Linked DNA regions of Struthio camelus. Each later gene encodes a partner of the first gene's protein in a complex. Links are inferred from orthologs where the notes say so. Each region holds a gene or a part of one and is shown on either strand. Other genes may lie near its edges.

Evidence for each region. The genes of interacting proteins can lie anywhere in the genome.
Region 2: the proteins of NUP93 (region 1) and NUP35 are in contact, whole or in part, in a crystal structure (PDB 7MW1), measured with the Homo sapiens proteins. The link is inferred for Struthio camelus from reciprocal best matches to the Homo sapiens genes NUP93 and NUP35. Residues at the interface, in NP_055484.3 of Homo sapiens: Tyr266, Tyr269, Asn402, Ala407, Asp408, Lys409, Thr410, Glu411, Tyr413, Tyr448, His452, Phe453, Val455, Asn456, Leu461; in NP_612142.2 of Homo sapiens: Ala88, Pro89, Pro90, Val91, Arg92, Ser93, Ile94, Tyr95.

The regions. Positions count from the first base shown.
Region 1 is NC_090951.1:22,061,653-22,069,057, reverse strand, and holds the start of NUP93 (nuclear pore complex protein Nup93), read right to left. Parts: upstream 3,020-7,405; 5' UTR 2,757-3,019; coding exon 2,669-2,756; intron 430-2,668; exon of another isoform or gene 362-429; intron 1-361. UniProt on the Homo sapiens protein: Plays a role in the nuclear pore complex (NPC) assembly and/or maintenance. May anchor nucleoporins, but not NUP153 and TPR, to the NPC. During renal development, regulates podocyte migration and proliferation through SMAD4 signaling.
Region 2 is NC_090947.1:17,816,790-17,823,858, forward strand, and holds the start of NUP35 (nucleoporin NUP35), read right to left. Parts: upstream 3,001-7,069; 5' UTR 2,836-3,000; coding exon 2,802-2,835; intron 1,966-2,801; coding exon 1,795-1,965; intron 1-1,794. Other genes in the region: DUSP19 (dual specificity protein phosphatase 19), read right to left, coding at 4,544-4,765. UniProt on the Homo sapiens protein: Functions as a component of the nuclear pore complex (NPC).

The DNA.
Region 1 (7,405 bases):
GAAGGAATGCTACATATTGTACAAATTGACTGGATTTAAGCCAAAAAGAAATCACAAAAGATGACAGGTTTCTTAATTCTATTCAGCTTGACTTTAAATGATGATTTGTTACCTGAAAAAAAAAAATAGAACTAAAAATTCCTCAAGAGGATTACAATGCTGTCTAATGAAAACACTGTAATTATTATACTCCAAATATGTCCATGTTGAACACTTTACTGTACTATCTTCAGAAAAACTTAAAGCTGACATATTCTAATGTGTGAGCAAGTGTCTATTGTGCTTCACACACTGACAGCCTTTTTGTCATCTAATTAACTCTGAGAAACAAATTAAACATTTAGGCTTTTCTAGTACTTACCAAAAAGAAGTAAAATTTCACTGGAGAGAAGGAAAGCTGCACCCACAACATTCAGAACAGCTGATAAACTAATTCAATTCCATAAGTTACAAAGAGGTTCTTTCAAACAGGAAATGAAGACGGAGCCTAGTGTTCCTCTTGCAGAGGCCTCCCTGCCCTAAGCACTCAAGCAAGCCAACCTGATGAGTTGGGCTCTGTCTCGTCTCTCCCATCCTGAACCCCCTGAGAAGCCCTAAATAACCATGAACCAGGTCCAGGTATGCTTCACTCTTCTGCTTGCACAGCAAAGTACCAGCACCAGAAACAGGGACTGCCTTTATCTTTTGGCAGTAAAGACACAAAAGCACACTGGTGAGAGACAGCAGATAACTCTCCTTTCCTTACCACAGCCAAGATCTGAGATGAGAGTAAGGATGTGCTTTTTCAACAGGATCTGAAGACAGGCCTTATAACTTCTGTCTACTAACCCGATGAGAAGAAGCTGAACTTTCCCTAGCTTCCTCCATGGCCTCCCCCCCTCTCCTTTCTTAAATGAACTTTCTGCCAGTCCAGATCAGTAGCAAGTATTTCAACTTCTACCAGAAAAGCTGTCATTACTTCTCTGACAACAGAGGACTATAGCCTGAATACTACAAGCCACTACTATCAATGTTAAAAACATAAATTTTTGGTGTGTTGGTCTGTTGTTATGCTTCGCGTGTTCTGTTAAACCAAGGATTTCTGTATAAACTATGTTTTTCTTAAGTGTTTCCTTTTGTTTCAACTTTGAGAACATTTTCCCCAGAGCCTACAATTTATTCTGAAGCTAGAAGAGAAGCTAAACATGAATAAATAAAAGGCCTGTTCTGCAGGCCTCAGGAGTTTTGTATGAATAGCAGTAATAATACCTAGCTCTTGTGCAGTACTTTGCATAAGTAGACATCAGAACATTTCACAGAGAAAGTTAGCATCATATTCCCCATTTTACAGACAGGAAAAATGGATCAAGAATTGCAGAGTCTGAAATCAAAGAGCAGGTGGTCACCCACCAATTAATCCTCCCTGCCCCCTGCAAGATTCAATCCTGTATGTTTTGTTCTGAACCTTATCTGTAGGTTGACAGGTATTCATGTAAATGACCGGTCTTTTCATGATCGCTATTAAGCGCCTGGTCTCAAAGATCTCTTGTGACAGCACAGTACATGTGCAAAATCAGTACTGCATAAAAATATTTCTTTCAAAGTTTTAAAGGCATTGACATTCACTGTCATTTGCTCTTGAACTCTGTGAAAGGGCAAACAAGAGCCTTGCCACTCTTCTCTATCCTGTTCGTTACTTAACGTAGAATCGTACAGTAAGCACTTTCAATGATTTCTTCCAATATATATTACTATGCATTTGTCAACACTGACTTTTATCTGCCATCTGACTTTGAATTCCTCCCAGAGGTCTCAAGTCCCTACTATCCTAAATAACTGGCTCAGCTGGCAGTTTTGCCATCTCATCGTTCACCCTGTTTTCCAAACACTTGGTACTTATTTTAGGCACGTGACTGACCACCCAAGCTCAGTGGGCCGCTAACTTCAGCTGTAGGGCAAACCGGCCAATCATTAAATCAAACATTTAATTTTATTTCTGAAATTCCTTAGATGAAAACCCAGACCCTCTCCTGCCCTGTGAATTTCCTGTGACCTTACCCCATGGGAACATTAGAAATTAGATCACAGAATCACATATATTATCTAAGTCACGTTTTAAATTTTCCAATTTGTAAGCCCCTGTAAGTCTTTCAAAGAAAGTGCAGACCCCTTCGAGACATAACAGAAACGGAGTCCAATAAAATATATGTGAACAAGTTCTTATTTATCCTCCTCAACAGACTTAGCTCTCCATGACCTAAACGCTGTCACATATGTCAGCACGATCAAATCCGCAGAGGAGAGAAATAGTCCTTAGTCGCACTTGGACTTTTGAGAGTTCAACCCCTTCCACCAATTGTTAACACACTCTAGTTTAGGATAGAGTTGGGCACAGACAGCACCCAGGACTCCACAACAGTGCTAACTACATATCGATTCTCAGCACGTCCAAAGGTCAAACTTTAACACAGGTGCAATTCAACATCACGAAGTTTTGCTGTTGCCTAGAATTAGGACCAAACAGCACTAGCAAGTTACTACACGTGCTGTATGACAGCTCTGCAAAGACCGAATCTGTAACATGGAGCAAATCCTTCCTAGGGGGAACTAGTAAAGAGTGTTCTTTAGGGTCAGAAATAGAGTCTTACATCCAGGACGCTCTGTAATAAAACCTTATTGTCTTGTTCACCTGTTTCACACACAAAGTCAGCCCTGCTGTTGGCACAGATGACTTGTAAGTTGGGGTGGAGGAAAGCCTGGTCACCATTCTCCTCCATGTACGTACTGAAGGGTCCAGGCTACGCATTCAAAGGCGGCTCTCCCATCCTGCACCAGAATTACCGCTCTGAAGAACCCGAGTACCATACACGGACTACCTTCCCCGCTCAGAAGCGTCTCACACCCCGTCTAGCTCGCTCATAAAGCTCCGCTCGGTAACGAGGAGGCCACCAACGCCTGCTGCCAAACGCCAGCAGAGGCGGGGGCAGCACAAGAGCGGAGCGCTGCCTCTCCTGCCGCTCACCGCCAGCAGCACGTGCCGGCCCGGCCGGGGGCCCGCCGGGAGCCGCCCGCCTACGGCCGCCGGCACCGCCCCGAGACGGCGCGGCGGCCCCCGCGCCCACAGGAGCCGCCCGGCCGCGCCGCTCCCCGCAGCAGGGGCGGCCGCGGCGCCGGCTACGGAGCCCGGGGCAGCCCCGGGGCGGCGGCCGGCGACGCCCCGCCTCAGGCGCCGCGGCCCGGCGGGCGACCCCGCCGAGCCCGCGCGGCTGCGAGGAGAGGGCGCCGGGAGCCCTGGGGGACGCTGGCGGCAGGGGGAGCCCGGCCCGGCCCGGCCCGGCCCGGCCCCGCCGCCGCGGGGAGATGGCGGCGGCCCCACACACCCGACGCGGCCCCGCGGCCCCGCGGCGCCCTCACCTGCCCGCCGCTCCGGCCGCCACCGCCGCTCCGGCCGCCCCCGCGCCGCGCCGCACGCGCCCATTGGCCGAGCCCGCCCTCTTCGCCGCGCGCCGCGCGTGCCTATTGGCCGAGCCGGCCCACTTCCCCGAGCGCCGCGCGTGCCTATTGGCCGAGCCGGCCCACTTCCCCCCGCCGCGCGCCGGCTCCCGCCCCTCTGAGGGAACAACTTTATGCAGGCGCGCCGGGGCGCACACGGACAGCGCGGGTGGGGGGAGAGGGGGGAGGAGGAGGAGGAGAGGCCTTGGGCCGTGAGTTCGAGGCTGCCCTCCGCCTTGCCCGCCGCTGCCGCCGTGTGCACGGCGCTGTACACGGGAGCCCGACGCGCCGCAGGGGAGTCACCGAGAGTGCGTGCGCCAGTTTGGTAATAAAACCTTCCGATTCCAGGGAACCTGGGGGACGCCAGCTCCCAGCACCCTCGCTGCCTCCCTCCAGAGCCCTGCCTCGCCTACGATCCCGTCTTTGAGCAAACCCCAAACCCTGGGCGCTTCTGATTGCCAAATATGCAAGAGCGGGGTTATTTTGAGCTCCCCTGGAGGTGTACGAGAATATTACTGTACTTGTTCACCACAGGGCCGCGCACGCATGAGGGGGCAAGGCGTTCGCGCAAGCTGTAGAGTCGATGTCTCTGATGACGCCAGGGTTCGTAGGGCCGGGTCTGAGGAGCAGGGAATTTCGCTGGCGCCCGTAGGGCCTGTCTGACAAACACACAACAGACTGGGAGCAGAAGAGCTGGCGAGCACGGCCCACGAGGTCCTTCTCCAGCGCCGACGTCCCCCGTCAAAGCCTCCCAGCCGCTCTCGAGGCTCCCGTCTTCCCTGAGGCTTGAGGCGGCCCGAAACGTCCGCCCCGTCCCAGACTGCCCCGAAAGGAATTTTCTAAACTGCGGAAATGCTGCTAGAGCAGGAAAGAAAGTCGGGAGCTGGCGTTTAGGCTGGCCTACGGTAGGTGCTGGCGCCGAAAGAGGCCGCGGGGGAGGCGCGGAGGGCTCCCTGCACCTCCGTGCGACGCTGAAATCCAGACTGTCCCGAGGATGTCGCCTGCACGCGAGACGATAAATGTCAGCGAGACTAAAACATGCCTCTTCTTGAAGTCCCCTGTGGGCTTGCTTTTTTTTTTTTTTTTTGGCTCACCACATCCAAGTCTTTCCAACCATCATATATCACCTCCTGCCACTTTATTTTTTCCCTGTTACAAGCTCCACTTAGGGTAAAAAAACTAAGTTTTTGTACACTTGGGCGTATAAAAACACCCAAGGCAGCTCGAAAACGTAGCTAGCTCGGCAAGGGGCAGCTGCAGCAGCACGGCGCTCGGGGCTGACCGCCTTCTTAAATATCCCCTGCTTTCCAGACAACCTTTGGGGTCTGCAGCGAACTGCTGCGTCGCTGGTGCGTAGCTGCACTGCAGGCGCTCGCTGGGGCCGCTCCATGGGCAGCCTCCGATTCTCCCACGCTTGCCCTAAGGGCCTCGAAAACTCAGGGAGCCAAGTTCCCGTTTTCCGAGCATCACGGGAGTCCTGAAATGCCGACTGCGCCCGGAGGGGGCTTTTCGGGGAGGGCAGGCTGGGGCTGAGCGCCCGGGGGCGGCGGGGACCCCTGCCCTGCGAGGGGCCGGGGCTGCGGCCGCCCCCCCAAGGGCCCAGCGGGCAGGAGCTGGCGCGGGGCAGCAAGAGGCCTCGCGTGCCCATGGTGGAGCTGAAGACCGAAGCAGCCAGGTGGCAGCAAACGCTCACAAAAATGAGCGGCTCCTGTCTGACATGGGCTCCCTGGTGCTCCCCAGTGCCGCTCCCTTCCCCTCTGGGTGCGCGGACGCAGGGGGTGCGTCACTCCAACATGGGGTGTGCGGCCCACCTGCTCAGGGTGTGCATCACACCCACATGGGGTGTGCATCCCAGCTGCTCAGGGTGTGCATCCCACTCACCTGGGTTGTGCATCCCAGCTGCATGGGGTGTGCAGGGCACCCACCCGGGGTGTGCATCACACCCACCTGGGGTGTGCATCCCAGCTGCATGGGGTGTGCAGGGCACCCACCTGGGGTGTGCATCACACCCACATGGGGTGTGCATCCCAGCTGCATGGGGTGTGCAGCGCACCCACCCGGGGTGTGCAGCGCACCCACCCGGGGTGTGCATCACACCCACATGGGGTGTGCATCCCAGCTGCATGGGGTGTGCAGCGCACCCACCCGGGGTGTGCATCGCACCCACCCGGGGTGTGCATCACACCCACATGGGGTGTGCATCCCAGCTGCATGGGGTGTGCAGGGCACCCACCTGGGGTGTGCATCACACCCACATGGGGTGTGCATCCCAGCTGCATGACGTGTGTGGCGCACCCACATGGGGTGTGCAGCGTGCCCACATGGGGTGTGCATCCCAGCTGCATGGGGTGTGCAGGGCTCCCACCTGGGGTGTGCAGGGCACCCACATGGGGTGTGCATCGCACCCACATGGGGTGTGCACCCCAGCTGCACGGGGTGTGCAGCACGCCCACATGGGGTGTGCAGGGCACCCACCTGGGGTGTGCATCCCAGCTGCTCAGGGTGTGCATCCCTCCTCGGACAGAGTGTGCGTCCCACCTGCTCGGGGTGTGCATCCCACCCCTACGGGGTGTGCATCCCCAGCAGCTCTGGGTGCGCGTCTGCCCTGCTCAGGGCTGACGGGGGCAGGCTGCCGTGCTGCAGAGACGGGGCAGCCTGGCAGGGCTCACGCGGCGCGAGGCAGCGCTCAGCACCGCACCGTTGGGTGCTGCACCCCACTGCTGGGCCACCCAGCACCAGCCTCATCTGCTCAGGAAACTACAAGCTGAAGGGTGCTTTTTTTTGAGAGGCTGAATAAACCACGCGGTCCACTTCTCACATCAAGCCTTTATTCCCATCTCCTTCCCACTACACGCAGGTGCACGGAAGCCAAGAGCAGCTACCACAGCGGTTTAAAAAATTACAAAAATAGAATTTGTACACAGCAAACATTCCTGATAGACCAGAAAGGCCCCAGCCACGTCACTGGCAGCAGCTACATTTCGGAGACGACGGCTCTTTGCAGACGCAGCCCGCGAGGCAGTTCTTGCAGCCGGCCGGGCAACAGGAGCAGCAGCCTGCAACGCAGCCGGGAGAGGAGGGTGCTCAGGGAGAGCACGGGGTGCGCCTTCGCCGCCCCGCGCCGGCACCCCACGGACGTGCTGCCAGGCAGGGCAGGGAGCTCACAGCTGCCGTATTAAAGTTTTACCCACTTGGCCTTTATAAATAAAGGCCAAGCTTCTGTCGGTGCTGCTGAGAGCCCAATCCAGCGCAAGCTAAATCTAACCCTTTGGCTCGAGCGATGCTCCAGAGCAAGCCTGAGCCTGCAGCCAGGCCGTGCCGGGGCGCCCTGCCGCACCGCGGCCCCTTGCCCCGAGACGCCATCTGTGTTTTTGGTCACCCCGTGCTGTTTGTACCCAGGGCGAAGCCCCGCATCCATCCCAGCTCCGCCGTTGTTGCGGCCCCCCCCACCTCCCTGCGAGCTCTAACAGGGTCTCCGGCGCCCCGGCGGTGGGGAGCAGCTTTCCGACAGGAAGGGCATCGCCGACCCGACCCGCCGCCCTCCCGACGGGGCCCCCGAGCGACCCGCACTCACTTTTCTGGCACGACGCGCATTTGCAGGCTTTGCACTTGCAGTTGGGTGCGCAGGTACAGGAGTCACCTGGGGACAGAGCGAGCGGCTCAGCCCGGTGCCGCAAGGTGCAGGGACAGGCACGGTGCATGTCCCCGCTCCCGGGCACCTGCACCCGCCCCACGGCTTTCTGCCTTTCCCGATCCCATATCATGTTTGGGGAGGCTGCAAAGAGCCAGCCCGGAGACGTAGGCCACGCTGCTGAACTAAAGCACCGGATATTTCCCCAAGCAGGCGGCTCTCATTTAGTTAAAGAGGGGAAATCGCATCGCCAGCCTGGTATTGGCCTCCTGGGTGGATGCGCCCAGGTTCATCCCGGGTGCG
Region 2 (7,069 bases), on another chromosome or scaffold:
TCAGCCATGAAAGACCATTTATTCTTTCACTAGGGATCTGCAAAACCATCTGACCTACCAAACCGTTCAGGTTAGAAAGTTCTGGGCAAGGATATCTCATATTTATCAGAAACTATCTCCTCACAAAGGCATCATCTAAAACTTGTAAATCGCTGACTGTCACAGCACATCTGATTAAACCTGATGTGCTCACTATTTAAATGCACTTGTTCTTTTTAAAAAGTTCTGAACCTAGCTACACCTTTCTGCTTTAAGGTACATTGGCATTTGAATTGTTTCAGAGATTAACTGCCCTGTTTCAGAGATGCAAAAGCAAGGTTTCTAAGACTTAAGGGACATACTGTACTAAAGAACAATGCCAAAATGCATACACTGTCACTTTTCCACTGTTTATTCCTTTCCTTCCCATAACATTGCATACTAAATAAAGTCTAAGCTCCTGAGAGTAGGAACTAGCTTGCATATAGACAGGATGAAGTTAAGTTCGCTGCCCTACCATATTTTAAGCTTCAGGACTTGCATTATTACACCGAATTAAATTGACTGAAAGACCCTGATATACCTCTGAACACTTTGTGTAGGTTTGTGCTAGAGAAGGCTTACAGTCTTCACACAACTTTAGGAAACTAAGCTTTTCAGAAGCATTTTTCAGTCCTGAGTTTTAAGCTTCAAGACTCCCCTCTCAACAGTTTAACATATCCAGGGGAGCACTCTCCCTTCAAGGTTCTTACCTTAAATTTAAATAATATACCTAACCACTCATTTTAGAAAATCTTTCCTAGCGTTTTACTGGTTACCCTGTTTGCGGAACTGATACTGTTGCAACGATTCCTTTTTTTAAAAAAAAAAAAAAAAGGATGAGGTGAAGTTTACATGATTATTTTAAATTTTGAAACTATTTTCTCAAGAGACTTGTATTTAAGGGAAAAAAAACAACACACACAAGACACAGGAATAGAGAATCGATCCTACTTGGACTGAAAGAAGAAAAATGAAATAATCTTGCAGTATGTCAACCCTCAATTCTTCTGTAAAAAGTGACCAGTATTTTAACACCAAGAAACCAAATATTTATATTGCATCCAATAATTTAATACAAAAGCCTGCCTCATCTAAGATAGGAAACAAATTAACAAAACTGTAACTACTGATTTATACTTCTAAGAGAGGATAGACACATAATATCACTGTCTTAGAAACACAGGAATGACTTCTAGTCAGATCAACTAGGTGGTTGAAAAACAAAAAAGCATCTACCTCCAACAGGTAAAAAATGTCACTACTCCAGTCCGATTACGGCAGACACTAAGATTGTCAAACATTAGCTCAATTACTAGATATTGACTAAGGAGCATTTTTTATATTCTCTCCATTCAGTTTTAAGAACCTGACAATCTGTAAGTGGCTTTTAAGAATTCATTGCAAAGAAATCAACACTTTCCATGAGCTGTATTTAGTTTGCCAGCAGATTATCTAACTACTTTGAGCAAACAGAAAATACAGATGATTCTATATGCAATTGGCTTGTAAAGAATTGTATAAGTTGAACTTATACTAGAAAAGGTTCATATTATCTTTGTCGTAGAAGTAACTTTTCCTGGTAACAAACTGCTGATTTAAAACTCTTATTAAACTTAAGTCTATTCTGAGAAGTTTAGCCAAACTAAACTGAACACACAAGTTCACTGTCAAGTAAATTCCAAAGCTACACAGAGCCAAGTCTCTAACAGAGCAATAAAGAAAACCCTAATTCTTATTTTTAAGATAACTTTTCAGTGTTTAATGCATTCTGACCTGCAAGTAGAGGAGACCTCATTTCCATTATACCAACAGCAGGGCCACTTAAAGCACGTGGTTGTGGAGTCACTGGAGCAGGCAGATCGCCCATCAAAAATCCAGGAAGAAACTGAGCACCAGCACCTGGTTTGGGAGACGTTGGGGAGCCAAGAGTCATTGGCTCAGCTCCTATATTAACAAAAACAAAATTTAAAAACATTGAAGCAGCCAAACAATTTAGCCTATGCCAACGCCTAAGTAGTAGCTCTATAAATAAGCCGTAAACCAATTCACTGTGAGGGACTAGGATGTTTCTAACAACTTATTTTTCAAGAAAATAAGGCTTATCATAATTCTGCATTTTTAGCAACTCCACTATCCAAAAGGCAGTAAAAATAAGAAGTGCCACACTGGGACTTTCTTTTTAAAATACACCGATTTGGTTGCAAGAGACACCTGCTTCTGAAGATATCTGCTTTCTTTAAGGTGCTTTTTTTTCCTTTTTTTTTCCACTTCTGAAACAAAGCCTGTCTAGAGTCCCGCTGTCATCCTGCTTTGTGCCCCAGCTCTGGGAACACGCTCTGCCAAAGCTCTCCGGCCTCTTGCCAGCCGCCTCAGTTTCCCTGCGGCCCAGCCACCAAAGCAAAGCTCGCCGCAGCCTGCAAGTTTGCTCGGGACTGTTGTTTCGGGGTGTCACGAAGCGTTTGCGTTACGGCCGTTTAGGTCACTCCGAAGGCGCGCCTCCTTCCACAGTCCCCGGGCGTAGGCAGCCGCCCACACCCAGCTGGGCACCCCGGCCCAACAGGGCCCGGACTGCGGCTGCCGGTGCAGCAGGGGGCCGAGGGGGACCGACCGCGCCGCCCGGGGCAGAGCCAGGCCCGAGGCGAGGAAGCGGCGGCGCCGGGCCGCGGTGAGCCCCGCGGCGCCACTCGGCCGCCGGCTGTGCGCGCGGGGCGGGGCGGGGCGGGGCGGGCCGGGCCGGGGGTGGCAGCAGGCCGGCACGGGCGGCCCACGGCCCGGCTCACCTGCAAGGGGCGGCTCCACGGCGAAGGCGGCCATGGCGGCGTGAAACGGCTGCCAGCAGCTCCGCCAGGCGCTTTCAAACGGGGCGGAAGCGCCTGCGGCGTCACTTCCGGGAGGCGCGGCCGCGGCCTCTCCCCCTCGCCATCTCGCGAGCCGCCCCCCGGCGGGGGGAGGCCGCGCCGAGGGCCGACATGGCGCCACGTCACTGCCCAGGCCCCGCCCCCTCCCCCCTCCCCGCGCCCGGGGGTGGGACGTCACAGAGCGGGGCGCCCTCGCTGTCGCCCGGGGACCGGAGCCGCCGCGGCTCCGCCGAGCGCCAGCCCGCAGCCCCTGGGAAGGGCCCGCACCGACAAGGCGCAGGCCCACCGTTGTGATTACAGCTGCTGATTCCGTGCTGTTTCTGTGGGCTGAGAACTCCTGAACCTGCGGCAGATGAAGCAGAAAAGCTTTCTCACCGCAGAAAACGATGGGCTGGCGTTTCCAGGGTTCACAGAGACTGGTCCCTTCCCCTGTTGCAACGGGAAAAGGGGGACCAGACAGCAACATGGGGCGAACCTAAAACCTGCACTGATAGTTAGCATGAACAATTAATACAGAGAACTACACACGGTGTAGTCCAAACTCAATGGTACACTGCAATTCAAATTAGTGGTATGAGAAGGAGAGAACCCAGTATCAGTACTTGTGAACAAATGTTTCAAATATCTCTCATTTAACACAAAATTTAACCAAATACAGGTTTTTTTATTTTATATTAATACGTCAAACCATTTAGAGCTGGCATGAAGGCCACAGAAAACACTGATTACATTAACAAAATCTTTTACAGATTCTTTTTTTTTTTTTTTGAAGTGTCATCCTAAGATGGTTATTCCAGCCTGAGATGTGGCAGGAGGATAACAAGACAAAAAGCCAAAGTCATCTATCCTATCACAGCTGTTCTTTTTAGGTGATGCTGAACGGAGTGAGAGGAGTGGAGAACTGGATACAAAAAAACGCAGTAGCAGTAGTCTGAGAGATGTTGCTTTAAACATTTTTCATATCTTCACTGAAACAATCTACCAAAATGAAAACTGATCGCCTGGTTCCAGCATTTCAAAAACATCACGTTAGTGCACTTCAAAACACAACTTGATGGGAAACAGTAAAAAGAAATAAAGCATTAAAGCACTCCATGCCTTTTTTAATTCCATCAAAAGACCACCTGGTTTAATTTCTAAAAATATTTATCAGCTGGCTAGCCCATGAAATTCAATAAAATCTTCTTTCTTTGCAACACCAAATCAAGACCTAATAGCAAGGTACGGTATTACAGGAATATTTTATTATCTAGGTGTTACAATCAACTAGAATGGATAAAGATTTGGTTTAGTATTAAAGTAAAAACGGCAACTTTATTATCTCAGTTATCATTTTATGTTCTGTCTCTATTGCCTGCATTGTCTGATGGTTCAATAAAGCCCATCATTCTGTTTTTTCTAATATTGCAAGGAAAAGAGAACTTGATCTTTCTAACGTTGCTCTAGGAAGAGCTGGTTCTTGAGCCAAATCTTCTCTGAAGTCAGTAGAACACCATTTGGCCTCTAGATTAGATGCTGAAAACAGGAGGGGGAAACACAGAAGAAAAATGTGTAGAGAATGAATTTTAAATGCACATGTGAAAAGGAACTGCAAAATGACAGATTAAAGTACATCCAACATCTGTTATTGTATACTTATAGATTGTTTCACTTCTCCCTTTTGATCAGTCATGATCATTTATGCTTCCATTTGCCCTTTTACTGTGTTCTTGGTACTTGTGAAGCTGCTCCATGAAGCCAGGATTTGGACAAACAGCAGGCCTTGCATTTTTCACCAAAGAAAAGGCTCTAGCAAAACTGAGTCCTTCTGAATTCATTAGAAAACCAATGACTATTGCTGCTGCACGAGAGACTCCTGCATTACAGTGAACCAGTACCACGCCATCCTACAAGAAACAAATGAAACACGTTAGTTGGGATACTCATAAAATACATAGTAACAGTACTGGAAACTTAATATGAAATGTATTAATATGTATTAAAACTCCTTAAGGAGTCCAAAACAAAAACATATACACATGTAAGTAACTCCAAACAAGATAGAGAACCTCAAATTAAGTATTTGTCAAAAGCCACTTTATAACTACCAAATACTTCAGACCTAACTATACTAATGTCATAGAAATAATTACCAGATCCCATTCCTCTGTCCCTTTCCCCAAGACCTTGCAGCATGTCCCTCGCATAAAATCCAAATCAAATACATCTGGGATACTAAGATATTGGGTGCTAATTTAAAAATAGATTGTATTTGCAATACAGAGAGGAACTTGACTGTATCTTGTAACCAGATTAAAAATATAGTGATGCAGCAAGCTCTTAGGCAGAGGTAGATATGAATTAGAATATTCCATAGTTTCAGTCATGCTTCTTGTGTACTCTGGAGTTCTTCAGTGAAGATTCTGGGCAAGCACGATTATGCATAGGGAACAGAAAAATCAGCAAAGTTAAAGCATGACTTGCAACAAATCTCTACCTCCCCATCATACTGCTGATCCAATTGTATCAGTTGGTACAACTATGGTCCCTTAGGTAGGGACTAAGGTGCAAAATCCAGTACTACTGAACTTCTTTTAAATTCACAGATGTTTCTGCTGGTGGTTAAATTCAGGCTCATCTTGAATTATATACAAAATTAATACTTTTACCCTACTTAAATATTTGCTGAACAACTTTTGAAGCAATTTCATGACACTTCAAAAAGGCACTGCAAGTTTCATTAAAATATAATGGGCATGAGTTAACAATCATAAAGACAGACACTGGACAGTGTAGTGTCGGTTAGGTCACATTTGCAATGCCCAGGCTTTGTGAAGTTGTCATGTTTGCATGTTAGACTACAACCTAGCAAACTCTCTGCCAGCATCTCCACGCTCTGGATAAAGATACCGAAACACAACACAAAACGTGCTCGGATATTTGAGGCTAAACAAATATATTATAGTTACAGTCAGCTTTGCCTGCCTTTAACATGCACAAATTACTCAATGTACATTTTACCCAGAGGAAAAAAGATCTTGTAACTGGCGGGGTTCCTTTTCAGGAACTTTACGATTTAGGTACAGACCTTGGAGTACCAATCATCTGGTACACAGAGCAGAAAATGGTTCCTGCTTCAAAGATTTTTCAGTTTAAACAATAAGACAAAGACATATGAAATGAAGTATTATTCTTGTTGAATAAGTGCTAAGCTAAGACTAGAAGAATGACTTGCTCAAGTTAACACAGCAAGATTATGGCAGTGTTAGGAACTGAATCTAAACTTCTGAATCCCAGCACAATGAATCACAGTTTCACCCCTTCTCGCTTTGCAAATCACATCCCCTTTGCATTGTCTACTGGATATTATAATCTTCATTCACTTTCTCACATTCATAGGGGTGTGTTTCCTGACCACACACTGCAAGAGAGTGGAAAGCAGACATATCTCTGTATTTCAATTCATTGCAGACATGCCACTGGAAAACTCTAAATCTGTTGCCTCCTTAGTAAGAATAATATGATATTAAAAAATTACATTTATGCCACTGCTAAGGAAGCAATTGCTCAAGCTTATCCACTGTAGATCTGCAGTAGCTTTTACTGATTCAATGGGTTATTTCAGACATAACCTACTGTAACTGAGATCAATATCTAGCAGTGACGTTCAGAGTGAAAAATCAACATTTGAAAGTGATTCATTTTTTTCTTGTACAGTTCATGCTTTACTTTCCTGTTTCATATTTCTCTCAAGTTTCCTTTTATGACTGCTCTGTGGTATACTGCCAAAAATTATATAATGATATCAATGCAATAGAACTGAAAATTACTGAACACGAATGAACAAGGGCAACAACATTAAACCAAAGTTACCACTGAGCACATTTAGCCTTCCTTGCTAAACCCTGTTGCTTGCTTTTTTATACAGAGATGAATTTGGAACATCATTCTTATTAATTTTGCATTAGATATGAATACAGAATAAAAGCAAGAAATAGAGTGCAGATATTAAACTACTCTCTATTTATTAAGAAGTCTCTGCTCTGATCCTTGTAGCCCAACCTTCTCCTACCCAGAAATGGTCTATCAACTTACAAGAACCTGCAAGATTTAAGACCAAGTTTTCTTGGAATTTTTATATAGGAGAAAGTATAGTGTCCTCCCACCAAAAGGAAATAGTGATTATATAGCACAGTCAGCAAAAAACCCCA